Lepisosteus oculatus: one gene and its partner. The protein of the gene in region 2 purifies or fractionates together with the protein of the main gene of each other region. This does not show direct contact. Links are inferred from orthologs where the notes say so. Each region holds a gene or a part of one and is shown on either strand. Other genes may lie near its edges. The genes, in order: ocrl and pheta1.

What was found.
Region 1: the proteins of pheta1 (region 2) and ocrl purify together in Homo sapiens (co-immunoprecipitation; 5 studies listed by BioGRID and IntAct, counting the BioPlex papers as one, with this or other methods). This does not show direct contact. The link is inferred for Lepisosteus oculatus from reciprocal best matches to the Homo sapiens genes PHETA1 and OCRL.

The regions. Positions count from the first base shown.
Region 1 is NC_090703.1:50,395,749-50,403,112, reverse strand, and holds the start of ocrl (inositol polyphosphate 5-phosphatase OCRL), read right to left. Parts: upstream 3,032-7,364; 5' UTR 2,385-3,031; coding exon 2,337-2,384; intron 1,145-2,336; coding exon 1,065-1,144; intron 1-1,064. Other genes in the region: protein eva-1 homolog C, read right to left, coding at 4,465-4,865, 5,285-5,374, 6,059-6,130, 6,590-6,733. UniProt on the Homo sapiens protein: Catalyzes the hydrolysis of the 5-position phosphate of phosphatidylinositol 4,5-bisphosphate (PtdIns(4,5)P2) and phosphatidylinositol-3,4,5-bisphosphate (PtdIns(3,4,5)P3), with the greatest catalytic activity towards PtdIns(4,5)P2.
Region 2 is NC_090717.1:12,852,370-12,860,288, reverse strand, and holds the start of pheta1 (sesquipedalian-1), read right to left. Parts: upstream 3,057-7,919; 5' UTR 2,663-3,056; intron 2,656-2,662; exon of another isoform or gene 2,256-2,655; intron 583-2,255; 5' UTR 467-582; intron 1-466. Other genes in the region: phosphatidylinositol 4,5-bisphosphate 5-phosphatase A, read right to left, coding at 7,453-7,908. UniProt on the Homo sapiens protein: Plays a role in endocytic trafficking. Required for receptor recycling from endosomes, both to the trans-Golgi network and the plasma membrane.

The DNA of each region.
Region 1 (7,364 bases), on a different chromosome or scaffold from region 2:
TTCTATCTGTGAGCACAGTGCACTAGGGGAGGGGATGGCACTCCGCCTACAGCACTGCCCACACATCGCCCTGTGATGCAGAATGACAGCCCACACCAGTCTCGTGCCGTTCGCAAAGAAAAAAAACCGAGACGCTGTCAATCGCTTATATTACATGGAAACTGAGTGAACATCTGTCTGCATGAGTCAACAAAGTCATGAGCCCAGCTTCTTGGCTGGCTGGAACTGTAATCCCCTAAAAACAAACGAGTGAGCAGAAACGGTGCTGCTCTGTCCTGCGTGTCTCAGCGCACCTGACAACCAAGCAATATTCTATCCCAAAGCCTTTTCAGAATGGAAAATACAGATGTTTCTTTCGGGCAGGACAATGGCAGAGTGAGACGCACTGCTGCCTTGAAGCACCGGGGGCCAGGGTCCGGTTCCGGCCCTGGGGTGCCGTCTGTGTGGAGTTCGGACGTTCTCCCCGGGTTTGGATCACACGTCGAAAGACATGCTGGTGGGTTAATTGGCTTCTGGCAAGGCTGGCCCTTGTGTGAGTGTGTGCCCTGTGACAGGCTGGCGTCGCACCCAGGCCGTGCCCTACCCTGCCCCTGTTGCCTGCTGGGACAGGCTCCAGCTCCCCCACCACTGGATGAAGCCGTGACAAAGTGGAGGAATGCATTTCAATTCCCACACAGCCTCACTAGCAAGAAGACCCTCGGGAAGGCCTGTGCCCGCCGAGCCCCTGAAGGTGGTGCTTTACTGCTGGAAGTGTACCCTGAAGCCGAGTTTTACACTCGCAGACTTCTGCAGCCGGCAGCACCAGAAAGCTACTGCACTGTCACAGGTGCCAAAGTGCAATGCGTACTCCTGGGCCCAGAGCACACACCCTCGGAGAAACAGGACAAGAACACAGGAATGGCGACGAGGACAGCGCGTGGAGCGCCGCCTCTCTACTGTCCCAGCCAGCCAGCCAGCCGGTTTGGGCCAGACGGCGCCTGGCTCTGTTCAGGTTCGCGGAGACTCTGCTTCCACACTGGAGACCAGGCCTGCATGAGGCAGCACGGAGAGGAGAAGATACTTACTTGTACTCCCCTGCGGACTCGATGAGGGAGAGGAGCCTGGGCTCCTTCTGTCCACCTCTGACCTCCTGGGCTTTCACGGTGTGAGGCGGCAGGTTAAGGAGGCAGGGCTGAGGGTGGGGAAGGAGGAGGAGGAGGCATGGGGCATTGCTACCTCATGTCTCTTGTCCTGAGCCTCACACAAATGAGGCACTAACCTCTTCAGCGTGCCAGAGCGATAAGGAGGAGACTAGCAGTACGCCTCATCCTTGCAACCAAACCACAGCGCCAGAGCTGGAAACCGCACACATCTGCAAGTCACCCACCACCAGCCCCGGGCGACCCCGCGACACCAGCGACGAGAACAAAGACTGCCCGCGTCTATTCCTGCAGGTAATGTATTTTTAAAGGGTTCTGGCAATCGGAACATTTTTATTAACGCCAAAAAACAAAATTCCTCACGTTTTCTCCAGCCATGTACAAATCCGCGGCCGTGCCTACACACGCTTTCCCGCGTCCCACCGGTACACGTTTTCGGGATCAACGGTAAACACTGATCACAGACCTAGCCACACGTTTTTGAACACAAACCAACCTTGAATGAAAACGCTCACGGTGACACTGCAGCGCGCCACAGCCGTCCTAACTCATGCCTTTCGTCATAACGTGTGCAGACCCTGTCAATGTCGGAGATCTCCTTTCAAACGACACAGGGCGGACCGTAGGGAAGAGCACTCTGACCCCGAGCCTACCTGCGCTTTACAGCCCGTCAGGATGTCGCACATGACCAATAAACCTACACTGCGTGCACGGAGATTGATTTTCACTGCCAGGTTCGTGCGGCCTTTGAAGACGGCGGGGAGAGAGATAAGGACACAAGGGCGTATCAAACACACCCCCTCAAGGGCTGCTGCAAGACAGATTGACTGACTCTGGGTCCAAGCCGGCCTGCTTGCGTGGGTGCCTGTCAACACTGCACCGGGGGTGATGCCCACAAACTCAACGATTCGTGTGATCAAGCTGTTTCTACGGCTGGATTATGACTATTGAACATCACCTTCACATATTTCAATGCGGTTCGACATATAAAAGCACCGTTCTTTTTGTTCCCCTTTCTTTAAAGAACGATTAAGAGATATATTGACATTTCTAAACGGGACGTAAAGTGTCCGGCGTAAGTCACCTGCGCTGCATATTATCACAACTTGCGTGCCTCCCTCACTAACACGAAGACGCATGGTATTTCTGAGGCAGGAAATACTCGGAAAACAAAAAAGTACAGAAATGAAAGGATATTGCAATACATTGGCTTTTGCAGAGTCCGAATGCTGAAGACGTCTCCATCAGCGACTAAGGGTGTGATGATGGTCACAGCTCGGCCGTATTTTCTTTTCTTTCCCCAGGTCCCGTATTTATTTGTGGCACACTCCTCCCCCGCAGTCTGCTCCTCCAGGAGGAATGGTAATGAAATGCTGGAGACCGGGGTCTGGCAGAGCCGACAAGCCGGGGCTCTCGGTCTCCTGCTCGGGGTTACCAGGCGCACGGTGCCTTCCGAGGTCCGACCAACCTCGCTCACAATACCTGTGTCCCGGGAGCAGGGCCGGAGTAACACAACCCGATCTTCCCCCTCGCCAAGAAAACTAATCCCGAGGCTCCCGCAGTCCGCGGACTGGGTCGTGTCTGTAACCCGCTCTGGCTGCCCCGGAGGTCAGTGTTGTCTTGCAGCCCTCGCCGGCGAGAAGTCGCATGTCCTCGGCTGCGCCCCCTATTCGACACCGCGGCGCACTCAGACTCTCCCAGGCCCCGGCTCCAGCGCCTCCGCTCCCACTCGACAGCTGCGCTTTACCTGGAAACTGGAGCCGGATTAAAACGGCCGAGCGACAGAAAGAGTCCTGGCGGTGCGGCTGCAAGAATATACCCCCATTTCCGAAACTTACTGCCCTCTACCGGCTGGGAAGACCCTGTCTTACGTTACGGGCCGCGTCAAAGAGACGCGCACAAAATCGGCGTCTCCCCGAGTTACAGAAGGGGCTGTGCTCCCCAGGTTTAATTTCTGACACGGTTAAAGAAAGATAAATTCCTGATTACTGTTTTCTTTAAAGAAATGCACATGTTAATAATGCAGGTGGGTAGCTGCGTCAGCATGCGTAGGCTGCAAAGGAACAAGTAATAGGTTTATTTCATGCTGAAAAAAAGAAGAAAGAGAACACAACGTTTCGGCCGTGGAGCCTTCTTCAGGTGTCAAACCTTGACACCTGAAGAAGGCTCCACGGCCGAAACGTTGTGTTCTCTTTCTTCTTTTTTTCAGCATGGAATAAACCTATTACATGTTAATAATGTCAGCAAAAGAGGTGAGGTCGCCTCAAGTCAAGTCCAGGTTATTTTATCGGTTTTCTTTCGACCAGCTGACCAGCGATGGAGTTTTCTTCGTGGGGCATATTTCCACGAATTTTTGCTGCTGTCATCCAAGACTATTTCCCACACAAAGCCGGTAACTCCTTAATCTCGTCACTTTGTTTTGTCCCAAAACTGTCTGATTTTGAATGTGAGCACTTTGAACTATCCGTCTGTAATGAACTGTATCTTAGACAACTGACAGAGACGACAAGTAGCTGTTGACGTGGTATTTTCTATTATGGATCCAAAACTATCATATCAGAAAACCGAATAAAATAAAATGTACAGATAACAACCACATATTATTAGTTTTATTTATTATATTTAGAATTGTTTTTTTCCCCAATACAAAGCAAGTAATAAGTGAAAAAACATGAGGGAAATATTAAAAGGTCAATATATAAAATACTTTTTACATGTTCATGATTTAACAAGAGCTGCAGATAATGCATTTTACATTTTAACTGTGCACTATGGTACCACATTAAAAAAAAACTAATTGCTGATTTAGGTACAAAAAATATTAAAGGAATAATTCATACCATAATTTTGATTTAACATTTTAGGCACCAGAGAAATGTTAACCAGTTCAGTACTTTATTAATCCATTCAATATCTGTAGCATTGAAGTTCATGTTAAACTCTGAGACAACTGTACAGCTACTGTACATCACATACAGTTGTTAATTGTAAACAAAGGCTTTTAATTTTTTTTTGTTAGACAAATGCTCACAAACCATGCAATAATAATAGTAATAATAATTCTCATGCCTTCTTCACAGAAATAAAGTTTCAGCGCTCAAGAGGTTTCCGGGTGGGTTTTTTTACGTCTCTTTCTTTACGGTGGGGCTCTCCGGTCCCGATCCGGCTGGACTGCAGCGTGTCTCCAGGTCCTGCAGGCGTCTCTGAGGCTCCAGCCCCTGTAGAGAAGCTGGGAGAAGCTGCTAAAGGGGTCCCGTTGAGCCCGTGATGAGCTGATCCGGGTCACTCCGAGCCCGGCTGTCCCAGAACTCCGGCGTGCCGCTCCCTAGGGGCCGGAGGCCTGGATCTTGTGGATGGCGTAGGGGCTGGAGTCGCCCGGCAGCCACATGTCCCCCTCCTGCAGCTCCTTGCCGTCGCCCCTCTCCTCCATTTCCACGGTCAGCTCGGAGCTGAAGAGGGTGTCGGCCGTGCGGTAGGCCCAGGTCAGGCGGCGGAACGAGGAGTCGGAGGAGCTGTCGTCCTCCAGGTCCGCCATCAGCTCCCGCCGGGCCGGCGCCAGCGCCGCCGCCTTCCGGGCCAGGCGGGCCTTCCGGGCCACCTCGAGCTCCAGCCACAGGCTCTTCACGTCCCGCAGCACCATGGACTTCAGCCCGAACACGCACAGGAGGAAGACCAGGCCGGCGCAGATCCCCGAGACGAAGTACAGGGCCACCGTCTCGGGCAGGCCTGGGGAAAGAGCCGGCAGGGGCGGGGCTCGTCAGGCTCGTCAGGCTCGTCAGGCCCGCCGGGCCCGCTCTGTCTGGTACAGCTCAAACAGGGACGACACCAGCACCCTGATGGCTGCCAGAGTCAGTGTTTCACACCAAATAGAACACACCGTGTACAGTAACAGAAACAGAAAACTGGGGGGGATTGCTAATATGTAATAGGATGGGTAAAATAAGAACCGGCATGCAGACTTAGTCCTTCCTCTTGTTGCGTTCATGGAGCTACTGCCTCTGCAGTGCCCTGGGCTCGCTGTTTAGGAGCCACTAGAGACCTGGACCTTTCTCCACACACTCTCACTTTCACTCTGCCTGACGCCCAGACCACACTGAACCAGACACGGAGGCCCCTGGGGCTGAGCACAACACACAGCGACGTACCCCAGACTCGGGCAAAGACCTCCAAAGCACTGGTAAAAACCACCACCTTCCCATGAAGCCTGGACACTCCGGGGCCAGTGTACCAGCCTCCTGTGGGTGAAGAGGGACTGGGCTTAGGGGCCGCTGAGAAGGCCAGACCAGTATGTCTAACCCTGCGTGTGCCGTGCTGGGAGCCTGCCAGCGGGGGCACCTCAGGCCGTCCTGCCTCAACCCCGGGGACGTGCAGAGCTCTCAGCGAAGGCAGCAGATGGGCCGTGTATCTCTATTGATCGCCTTGTGATCTGCTGTCATTTCCTTCACGCTGCTCTGGGACTGAAATATGGCATCTCTGCTGGTGAGCCGGCGTGTGCAAGGAAAATGACAGAGATGTCTTTTGGACACGGATTCTAAACGTTGGCGTGACCAATAAATAATGTTAAATAACCCGTTGAGTTTAAGCAAGATGTATAAAATCATCGCTTGTTCAGATCTTTTCTTGCTAACACTTTAAAGATCAGGAAAATGGGAGAAAAACCAAGATAGTTAAAGAGTCAGCGATTATTGATACAAAAACTAGGGGCTCGCACGTTTTGGCCTATTTTCCTCGATATCCATACTCATAATTCACGAATGAGGTGCCACAAATGCTGAACCAGAAAGGAGTGTTCTCGCCACTGTGGGTTTTGGAACCCTTTGTCTCGTGTCCTCTGATGTCTGGTGTGGATACTGCAAGCCGCTGTCCGATAAGAGCGCTGATAAACGTGAAAGCTCCAGGACAGCCCGCGGGTCTCTCACCGTGAGTGTAGTCGGAGATGGAGAAAGGGTCTGGAGAGCCCCGTCCCAGCTCCTCCAGGAGAACTCTGGGCACTGGAAGACAGGGAGAGTCACAAACACAAGGGAAGGAGCCCTCATCTAGAGAACTCGCAAAAAACATAAAAGGCAAGCTGGCTGACAGACAGGGATCAAAATCCCAATGTGCAACTGCCTGAGGCAGATCGTCAGGGGCTTTGATTACTGATTACAGGAGGCTCTTATTTACACAAAGTGTGGTGGGAGTGTGGAACAAGCTGCTCAGCTTTTCTCTGTCATGGAAGAAGGGGAAGAGGTGGGATGAGATCTAGGACCAGTTGGCCTCTAGCAAAAAAGAGCTAGTGAGGCTGAACACTCTCCTCTCCTTTTTCTCATCTTTCTCCAGTCCTCCTTTTCCTGTCATTTCAATCTATTCAAATTAACCGTGGACATTGACAGATGCAGGGCAAAGGCAGGCCGCAAAATTTGCCCGTGACAACAAATATTTAAATTGCGTTTTTACCCAGTCTCACTCACCACATGCATAGGACACACGGAGGTGCTTCTTCATCCCCGGAAAACAGGGGTCGCCGAAGCTCTGCGTGTCCGCGAGTACCGAGCAGTTCGGTCTCCCGTGACACCTGCGAGACACCTTCCTCAGAGCCGACGGGGACAGACACTCTGCAAAGCACCACAACAATGCAGGGTTGTCCGATCGGCCTCATTCATACCGATTGTGCTGCTTTATAATCGTGTTGTTTTCTTCACGTCTTTTTTGTTAATCCGAAGGTACTAACGTTTTTTTTTCTTCGATGCAATGCAAGTGTTCGACACCGAGTCGACGAAATTTAAATGACAGTGCGATGGCAGGTGTTATCCACTAGAGGGGGCAATTGCTCGCAAACAAAAAATTATGTTACTGCCCCGTGTGAAAAGCTTTTCGCTTTTACGTCTAATGTGAATGGGTGTATTTATTCTCTACATTACCCTCAGCATATAATGCTATGATAAAAAAAAATGTATTCATTGAAGCCGATAAAACATATCGCCAAGAAGCTCCTTCTTCTAAAAACCTGGGGTGCCCACAAAGTGACCTACAAAATCTGATGCATATCCTGGGGTCCAAGGTGAGAGCTGTTGCGCTCCTTCAGGTACATTTGTGAGCGGCCGCTAGTTGCTGGGTCCGAGACAATCCTTCTGCAAACTGGCTGAAGGGGTTGTGAACATGCCCTGACGGTACAGTCCGGTTCCTGTGGTCGGAGAACCGGCTCTGTCACCCAGTGATTCTGGACACCCGCTGCCAGAACAGCAC
Region 2 (7,919 bases):
AAAAGCACACACAGGCATCCGAACTGTATGATGGGGATGTATCTCTAATTGATTACATTATTCCTTATGGATATTTATTCCCCTAAATCATTTCACTGCATTATTTAGAAACATAACCTGGACTTATAACAGAATCCTCTATAATAAATTTGTTTAGCCACAAGTGAACACACACTCAGTCTAAATTAAGGTCCCTAACCTGACTCTATTCCAATAATTCTTATGGGAAAAGCCTCTTACCTGCTTTGAGCCGCACAGCACAGTATATGCTCTTACAGTCTCTAAACCCTCCTTTTTCATATTGTTATGATTCATTTTCTGTCACTCCTGCTCTCCAGAGGGTATAACCACACCACAAACTTTAAAGTAAGATCATTTAGATCATTTTCACAGGTGTAGTGGACAGACCTCATTATTATACCCATGAAGCACCATGGCCATATGAAATAAAAGCAGGTCTACTCACGTTTCTTTTCCATTTCCTGAAGCACACGGACACTACGGAGCAGCCAAGAGGCCTAAGGACACTCACAGCGCCCCAGACCAGAGGAGGCGGGACTGCTCATTCTCCTCTGCTCCGTGCTGAAAGAGGGAGCACACAGCGGGCTCTGACACACCGGAGGAACAAAATGGTGGGGGAAGAACAGCTCCTTTTTCCGCTGAACAAAACAGGCAAAGGGCAGCAACATGACGCCACGCAGCTCCTGCAATCACTTTGTTCTCACACACCAGAGCTTACAGCACAAAAATGCTTACATGTTTATCGAAACATACAGACCCTGACTAGAAGTTCATCACCTTGACAGATGCCACTCTCACTTCCTCCATGGAAACGTTTTCCACAGTTCCTCCCTTCTCTCTGGCTGCATGAGATCACCCTGTACACACACACTCCCAGAAGGAGATTCACAGAGGGTCTTGATCTGATGAGTGCTACAGTACATCAGGAAACCCAAACCTCCTCTCTTCTCACAGCAATAAAACATAGATTTTGCAGGTCAAAGCAGGTCTCTAGGAACCAGGGCAAAACCCATGGCAACACAGGAGTTACAGGCAAACTCCACATGGAAGGAGGAGAAATAAACGTTCCGGTAAGCTACTGTTTATTTTCTGCAGAACCAAATAAGAGTATTTCATTTTTTATCCAAACCGTTATAGTTCAAGTTGGTTTGGGAGTGTTCATTACTTAGACGCAACTGAAAACAGTTACCAGGTCATAAGAACATAAGAAATGTTAACAATGAGAGGATGTTGTTCTGGTCATCTGGACAATCGGTAGTTAGTAGGTTACTGATGCAAGGGATCACATCCCGACCTTTCTCGAAGGAAGCCAGGACATTGGCTTCAGCCACATGGTATGGTGGTTTGTTCTAAACTCCCTCAGTCCCACAAGCGTTTGGGGAGAGATGTGACTAAAAAAAGATTCAGGAGTCACATCCGAGGCCATTGGAACATTTATAGGATATTCAGGATCACCTGAGACAGCATTTTCCACCTCCACAATCCAAGCACGGTTGAGTTGAGTGGATGGGCTTTCTTGTGGAAGAACTGTGTGCCGCTTCCCTCTTGCAGAATCCAGACATTGCCGGACGGTGGACCCGTCCCGGCCACACGCAGCGCCTTATTATAAAGTGACTGTACACTGACGTTTTCATTTTTTTTGTGCACTATGTGTTCTTGCTAGCGACATTAGTACAATGGGATGACTTCCGTCTGATCTTTCAGGTAACTGACAAGATTCTGCTCGTTTGAAAATCTGTGGTTATACAGTGTTCCGCGGACTATCTACCTATAATTATTTCATTATCTCTGATCACTCGTTTATTTACTATTTAACCAGTTTAATCATACTTAGCCTTCAGGGCGTTACAACATTAAGCGCTGTCTGACACACATCCATTCGTGGCTCAGCTGCTGGTTTGAGCTTAATTAAGCCATTTCTCGACCTGTGAACCCAAGACACACATAACGTGCGTCTCTCGACACATTTGCGTTTATTTATCTCGGCTACAGATAAAGTTTCGCTTTCCACGGATTCAACACACGTCCTTTAAGATATGAAAGAATGACACACTTGGTTACTTTTTCAGATCTTGCTTTCTGAGGTGTGAGATGTGTGAAATGTGTGATACACACACTTCTCCTAGCGTGAGAACATTACTTAAAACTTAATAACTCAGTGCAAGAAAGAAATTCTTGTATTAACATCATTCCAGTGTTACACGTATAGTGCATGTAGGTGCAAGAATACTTACAGGATTTTTCCATTGTGACCACAAAAAATAGCTCCACTAAGTAACACGAAATTAAAACGTCTTCCTTAACGTTGCTCCCATGTAACACATTAGACATTTTAAACCGAATCACAGCAACAAAAAACAAGTTGTATTTGTTCTTCTCGATTCCTACGAAAACAAAAGATCTCGCGTGTCCAGCGCTGGGTACATTTTATAAATACCCCGATGATCAACACATGCGCAGTTTTGTTTCTGTTTTCATTTTCAGGAACAAAAAAAAAAAGTCAAACGCAGTGATTCCTAAAAAACACAGACAGCGGATTACTTGGTAGAGTGCAACAGACTATTTTTTTTTTTACAATAGATAACCATGCATTTTATTAAAAAAAAAAGCCTTCATGTTTAGAACGGGGCAGTAAACTTACTCGGTCCGCCGAAGCAGGCGGCTCCTCCGGCTCGCTGTCGGCGCTGCGGGCGGGGGGGCCCGTCAAGGACGGAGGGAGACATGTGTCGGGGCTTGGGATTTCATCACAGCGCCTCACTCCGTGCCATGCACGCCAACGGGTTGTTTTTCGCCTCGTTAACCCACCCCACCCGGGCACAGACGATCTTACGGAGCAGTTTTACTCGGGCACTGAACTGAACTGATGACACGTCCCCCTTTTTCCTGTCTCTGGCGCTGATGCGCGTCACATGACTGGAGTTTCGACCAGGATGAAGTCGGGGAAATGCCAGAGGCAGACTTTGCAATGGAAGTCCTTCAGACCCTGTTTAAGACGCAGCGCAACGCGGTTGTGCCGACCGCATTTCTGTTTCTTCCTGCCTGCCAGAATAAGCAAGAAGGAAGAGCGCAGTTCTCCTGCAGCCTTAGTGTTTGCGGAGCACTCGTAGACTCCGCTCTTTGTAGTTATTTCAATGGCAGAAGCACTGCTGACACAAGCCTGAACAAAATACAATGTTCATAATTCAAATTGCTAGTATGTTTATACATATATATGCATTCATCTTTCATTTCAGGATTGCAAGGTAATACAGGAAGTCTCAGTTTCATGGTCTTGAAGAGCCCCTGTCCAGGCGGTTTTATAGAATACCATCAAACCTGGTCTACTTCTAAAGTCCTGGAACGATTTTAGACTATAATTAAAATAATTAATTGAAGAGATCACTTGGGCTAAAAGAATCTGAATTCCTTCCCTCAAGGACCGCAGTTCTATCCATTTTCTAACTGCTTCTTCCAGTACAGGGCCACATGAACATGGAACAAGGGGAGAACGTACAAACTGCACACACAGCACCCCAGGTCCAGAAGTGAACCCAGGACACCAGCTCTGCAAGACAGCAGTGCTGACCACTGCACCAGCATGCCACCCACCTATTCCTTGGAAAAAAGAAAAAAACCTTGCTTACTTGTTTTCAATGTTTAGAAACTCGAGATTTACTAGATTGAGGCTTTCCAAAATCAGGGTTGTAGGTCTAACATGCTGCCTTGTCATCCTCTGCTTCTTCTTATTAAAATGACCAGAAAGTATCCACACACTCCAGAAGGCTTTATAAACATGGTCTCTAATGGGACACAGAATGTGAAACTTTAGCCCCCGTTTACACTGATATGAGGTATAATTAGATTAACTCGATGATACAGGAGAACAGTCACTGCAGTTCATGAAAGCATTTAGCAGTCCTGGCCTACAGGAGAAAGCATTTGAGATGCCATTGCAGAAACACGTCTGACAACCTTTTCAATCAAACAAATATTTTTCCTGTTTAGTGAATTGCCTCTTAGCCACTGTTTTGCACCTCACAGACTTCTCCGTCGCAACACAAACAAACAACAAAAACATTAGGCTGCCGTCGCGTCATCCAGGTGGGGCTGCACACTGGTGGTGGTGGAGGGGAGTCCCCATTACCTATAAAGCGCTTTGAGTGGACTGTCCAGAAAAGCGCTATATAAGTGTAAGCAATTATTAAGGAATTATTAATTAGGGTAAAAAAACATTATGAGAAACAGTCACATTTTGAAAAGGATTTTTTTTAGCTTTATTTGGAGTGACAGAGGTGGCACAACAGCAGGGTGACTGGAGAGCTCCCCTGTTTCCACAGCAGGGGCATCACAGCACTGCATTATGGGTGGAGGGAGTGGGTGCATCGAGCATACTGCCTCTCGTTGCTCTGGCAACAATCACATGATCCAGGTTTGCTAGTGTAAGAGAACAGCCTGGACTTCACAGAGAAAGACAACTTCAAACTCACACTCGTGCTGCACTGCTACTGCATAAGTCCCACTGCCCTGTGAAAATCAAAATGATCACACAAATTTCACAACTCTGTCACCACTGAGGTATGCAATTCCAAAGATATCTCACGGAGTACTTTCTCTGTCTTGCACAGAATTGAAATGATTTCAAAATGATACAATAAATATAATTTTTAACAATTCACTAGTACAGATTTTGATTCAGGATTGTACACAGACGAACACAGTTTCAGCCCATTATCTAGGTATTCGAATAAATAAATAAGCACAACAAGAAAGAAGAAAGATCATGGTCATTTAAAAATCCATTATGTGTAATAAGAGCTGTGAAAATTGTAATAGCTGTGAAAATATGACCACCCAGAAGAACATATAGTACAAACATATATACAACAATGTACAGGCAACAGTTTTTATTCTTACACCAAAGAAGGAGCCTGAGGACAGAACAAAAACGTATCCCCCAAGATATGTTTCCATGCTTTAATGCTGAAACACAAGCAGCGAAGGACAAATGGATACCACACTTTCACAGCAAAACCCTGGGAGCTACAGTAAAGGTGTCCCAGACAACTCTGCCCAGCCATGATTTACTGGTACTCTGCTAGCTGCAGCAACCTGCACTGCAAAGGAACATCTCCATGGCTTCAGCTATTCAAAACTCCCTCAGACATTTCTATCCTTCACAGTGATGGGGCAAGAGGAATATGTGAATAAACACCCAGGTGTTTCAAGTTCAAAGTTAATTAAGGTTAAGGGGCTTCAGAGTGCAAAAACCTTCCAAGTCTTTTGCATGGCATATACTGTAGGTTTGGCTACAGTTTGGAGATTGCAAGCTGGACTCCAGAACATACTATGAGACAGCATGGACCCGATTCGTGCCAGAGGTCTGCTTCAGTAAGGGCAGCCCTCTCAGTCTGGCTGTGGCTGGTAACTAGGGTAGCTAGTTTAAAGGAAGGATCTGGCTCAATGACTGAGTCTTCAGGAACAGATTGCTAGTCTCCCCGTGCTGTTTAATAAGTTTAATAAGGAAGTCCATCCACCCATCAATGTTCTACCCACTTTCCCAGCAAGAAAGAGACACAAGGCATGATACACCCTGGACAGGACTCCAGTCCATTGCAGGGCAGACAGACACCAACACCACAGGGCCCGTCTTCCCAGAAGCCAATTAACCTACAGCATGTCTTTGGATTGCGGGAGCAAACCAGAGCACAGGGCAAAAGACCCATGATGACGCAAGGAGAACACACAAACTCCACACAGTAACCCAGCAATTGAGCCAAGGGCCACAGTGCTGCGAGGCAGCAATGCTAATCACTGTGCCACCAAGCTGCCCTTAATAAGGAAATGTGTTATTTAAATTGGCTGGAAAATAATAGGCCTGTTCTTAGTCAAGAATGATCAAGCAAAGGGAACTTAACTTTAAAAATGTTCATGTTCTGCATGTGACACAAATGTGCCCAGCAGTGCAAGCAAAGTAAGTTTAAAGTCTTTTAAAATGGGAAGCTTTTCTTCTCCTTTAAACCATTTTTTAGGATTCTGCTGTGCCCCCATTTAAAACAGAGCACTACTAGTAATGATGGGACTGAAATCTTCACCTTCATCACTGTCAAATTATGACCATTACGTTCTTTGCTGTTGGTTTTTAATATTTTTTCTGTTTTGAGGTGAAGTCTAGGTTATTCTTTATTATAAACACAATGATATTACCAGAAAAATGTATGCATAAGTTCTGAAGTGCAGGTAATAATGATCTCAGGAACAAAATTGTGTTTTTACACAACTCCATAGTAAAGAATTAGAGTTCAATTCACCATTCAATGAGCTGTGTCCTTCTCTGCCAAAATCATTATATTGACACTGAGCTGCCCACCCGACAGAAGGAGCATTGATTTGCAGAGACTAATTAGGTTCCAGTTATTGATAAGTTCACTGCTCCGCTGGATCATTTTTTATATGGCTTGATTGTTATTTTTAATGAAAGGTTCAGTAGCGCAACAAGAGAAACGACTGAATAAGGTACAGTACCTGAATCAATTACCTACTGACTATCAAACAGGCTAGATGGGCCAAATGGCTTTCACTTGTTTTTATGTTCTTATAGCACAGCTTTACACAACATCTACTACATGTGAACAACACCTGCCGCGGTACACCGTGCTGGAAGGTTCACTAGGAGTTACACTTGTTACTCAACCTACAGCTATTGAAACTGGTGCCTTTCTATTTCAGTGCGAGTGAGAGAAGAGGGTAGGGCTCCATTTTCATAGAGGCACCGATGTCAGCTTTATTTGCCTCTGAGATGCACTTACTGTGGGAATAACCACTATATAAAAGAGTCACATACAACTTGGATTTGATTACTTGATTGTCATGAAATTCTAAATGCCAATAAACATAGTGGCAAAAGAAAACACAATTCTCAGAAAAAACTGCATTAAGGTAGCATTATTACTAGCCTTATTTCAAGATCTCATGCAGTCAGACATTTCTGATTGACGTCTTGTGCAAATGTTCAATGACAGAAAAAAATGTCATCATATCACCAGTGTATGAGACTAGTAAAACTAAAACCAAACTTTTCTGGAAACATTCACATATTTTGCAATACTGACAGAAACTCACCAAATTTGTATGAACAGACACGTGTAAAAAACCTGGCATTTTTCTTGTATTCCAGGAACAGGGAGCCAGGAGGTGAAAAAAAGGATGGTCGAGACAGTGAGGTAAGAGGAGGGATAGAGACACAGACAGGAGGAAGCAGAAGGAATGTGTTCAGATGGTAGAGAATTGTTGAGGACAGTCACAGAAGCAGGAGGCCTACTTTTCTCCTGACTCATGTGGTGTCAGGAATTCGTCACTGAAGGAAGCGGAGCAGACCGCTCGGAGCATGTCAAAGTGCCAAGCCAGACTCCACGGGGCCTGGACCCCGCTCCTTATCCCAGGACGTGGGGCCTGTCACAACGCCGGATCCTGGCGCTCGCCTGAAGCCTTCCACCCAGAGGCAGGACCCTCAGAGGGCCCGCGTTCCCTGGCGGAGCCGGGGCTGGGCAGGTCCTCTGGGGCGTTGACTTCGATGCTGGGAGTGCTGGGGCTGCCGTCGGGGTCCTGCGGGAGGGGGCAGCAGGTGTCGGGGGACTCGTCGGACTCGCAGACGAGGCGCTCCCTCTTAGCGCCGGTGCGGGGCGAGGGGCTGCGGGCGCCCGTCTCCCGGGAGTGAGGGCGCAGGTTGAGGCCCTGCAGCCGGGGCAGCGCCGGGCTGCGGCTGCGGCTCCGGCGGCCCCTCTGCTTGGCCTTGCCGGGGCTGGGGCTGCGGGACTTGGGCCGCAGGAGCACCACGGTGCTGTCGTCCTCCGAGCTGAAGTCCGAGCTGTCGGAGGGGCTGGAGCTGGGGGTGGAGCTGGGCAGGGAGATCTGCGGGGGGA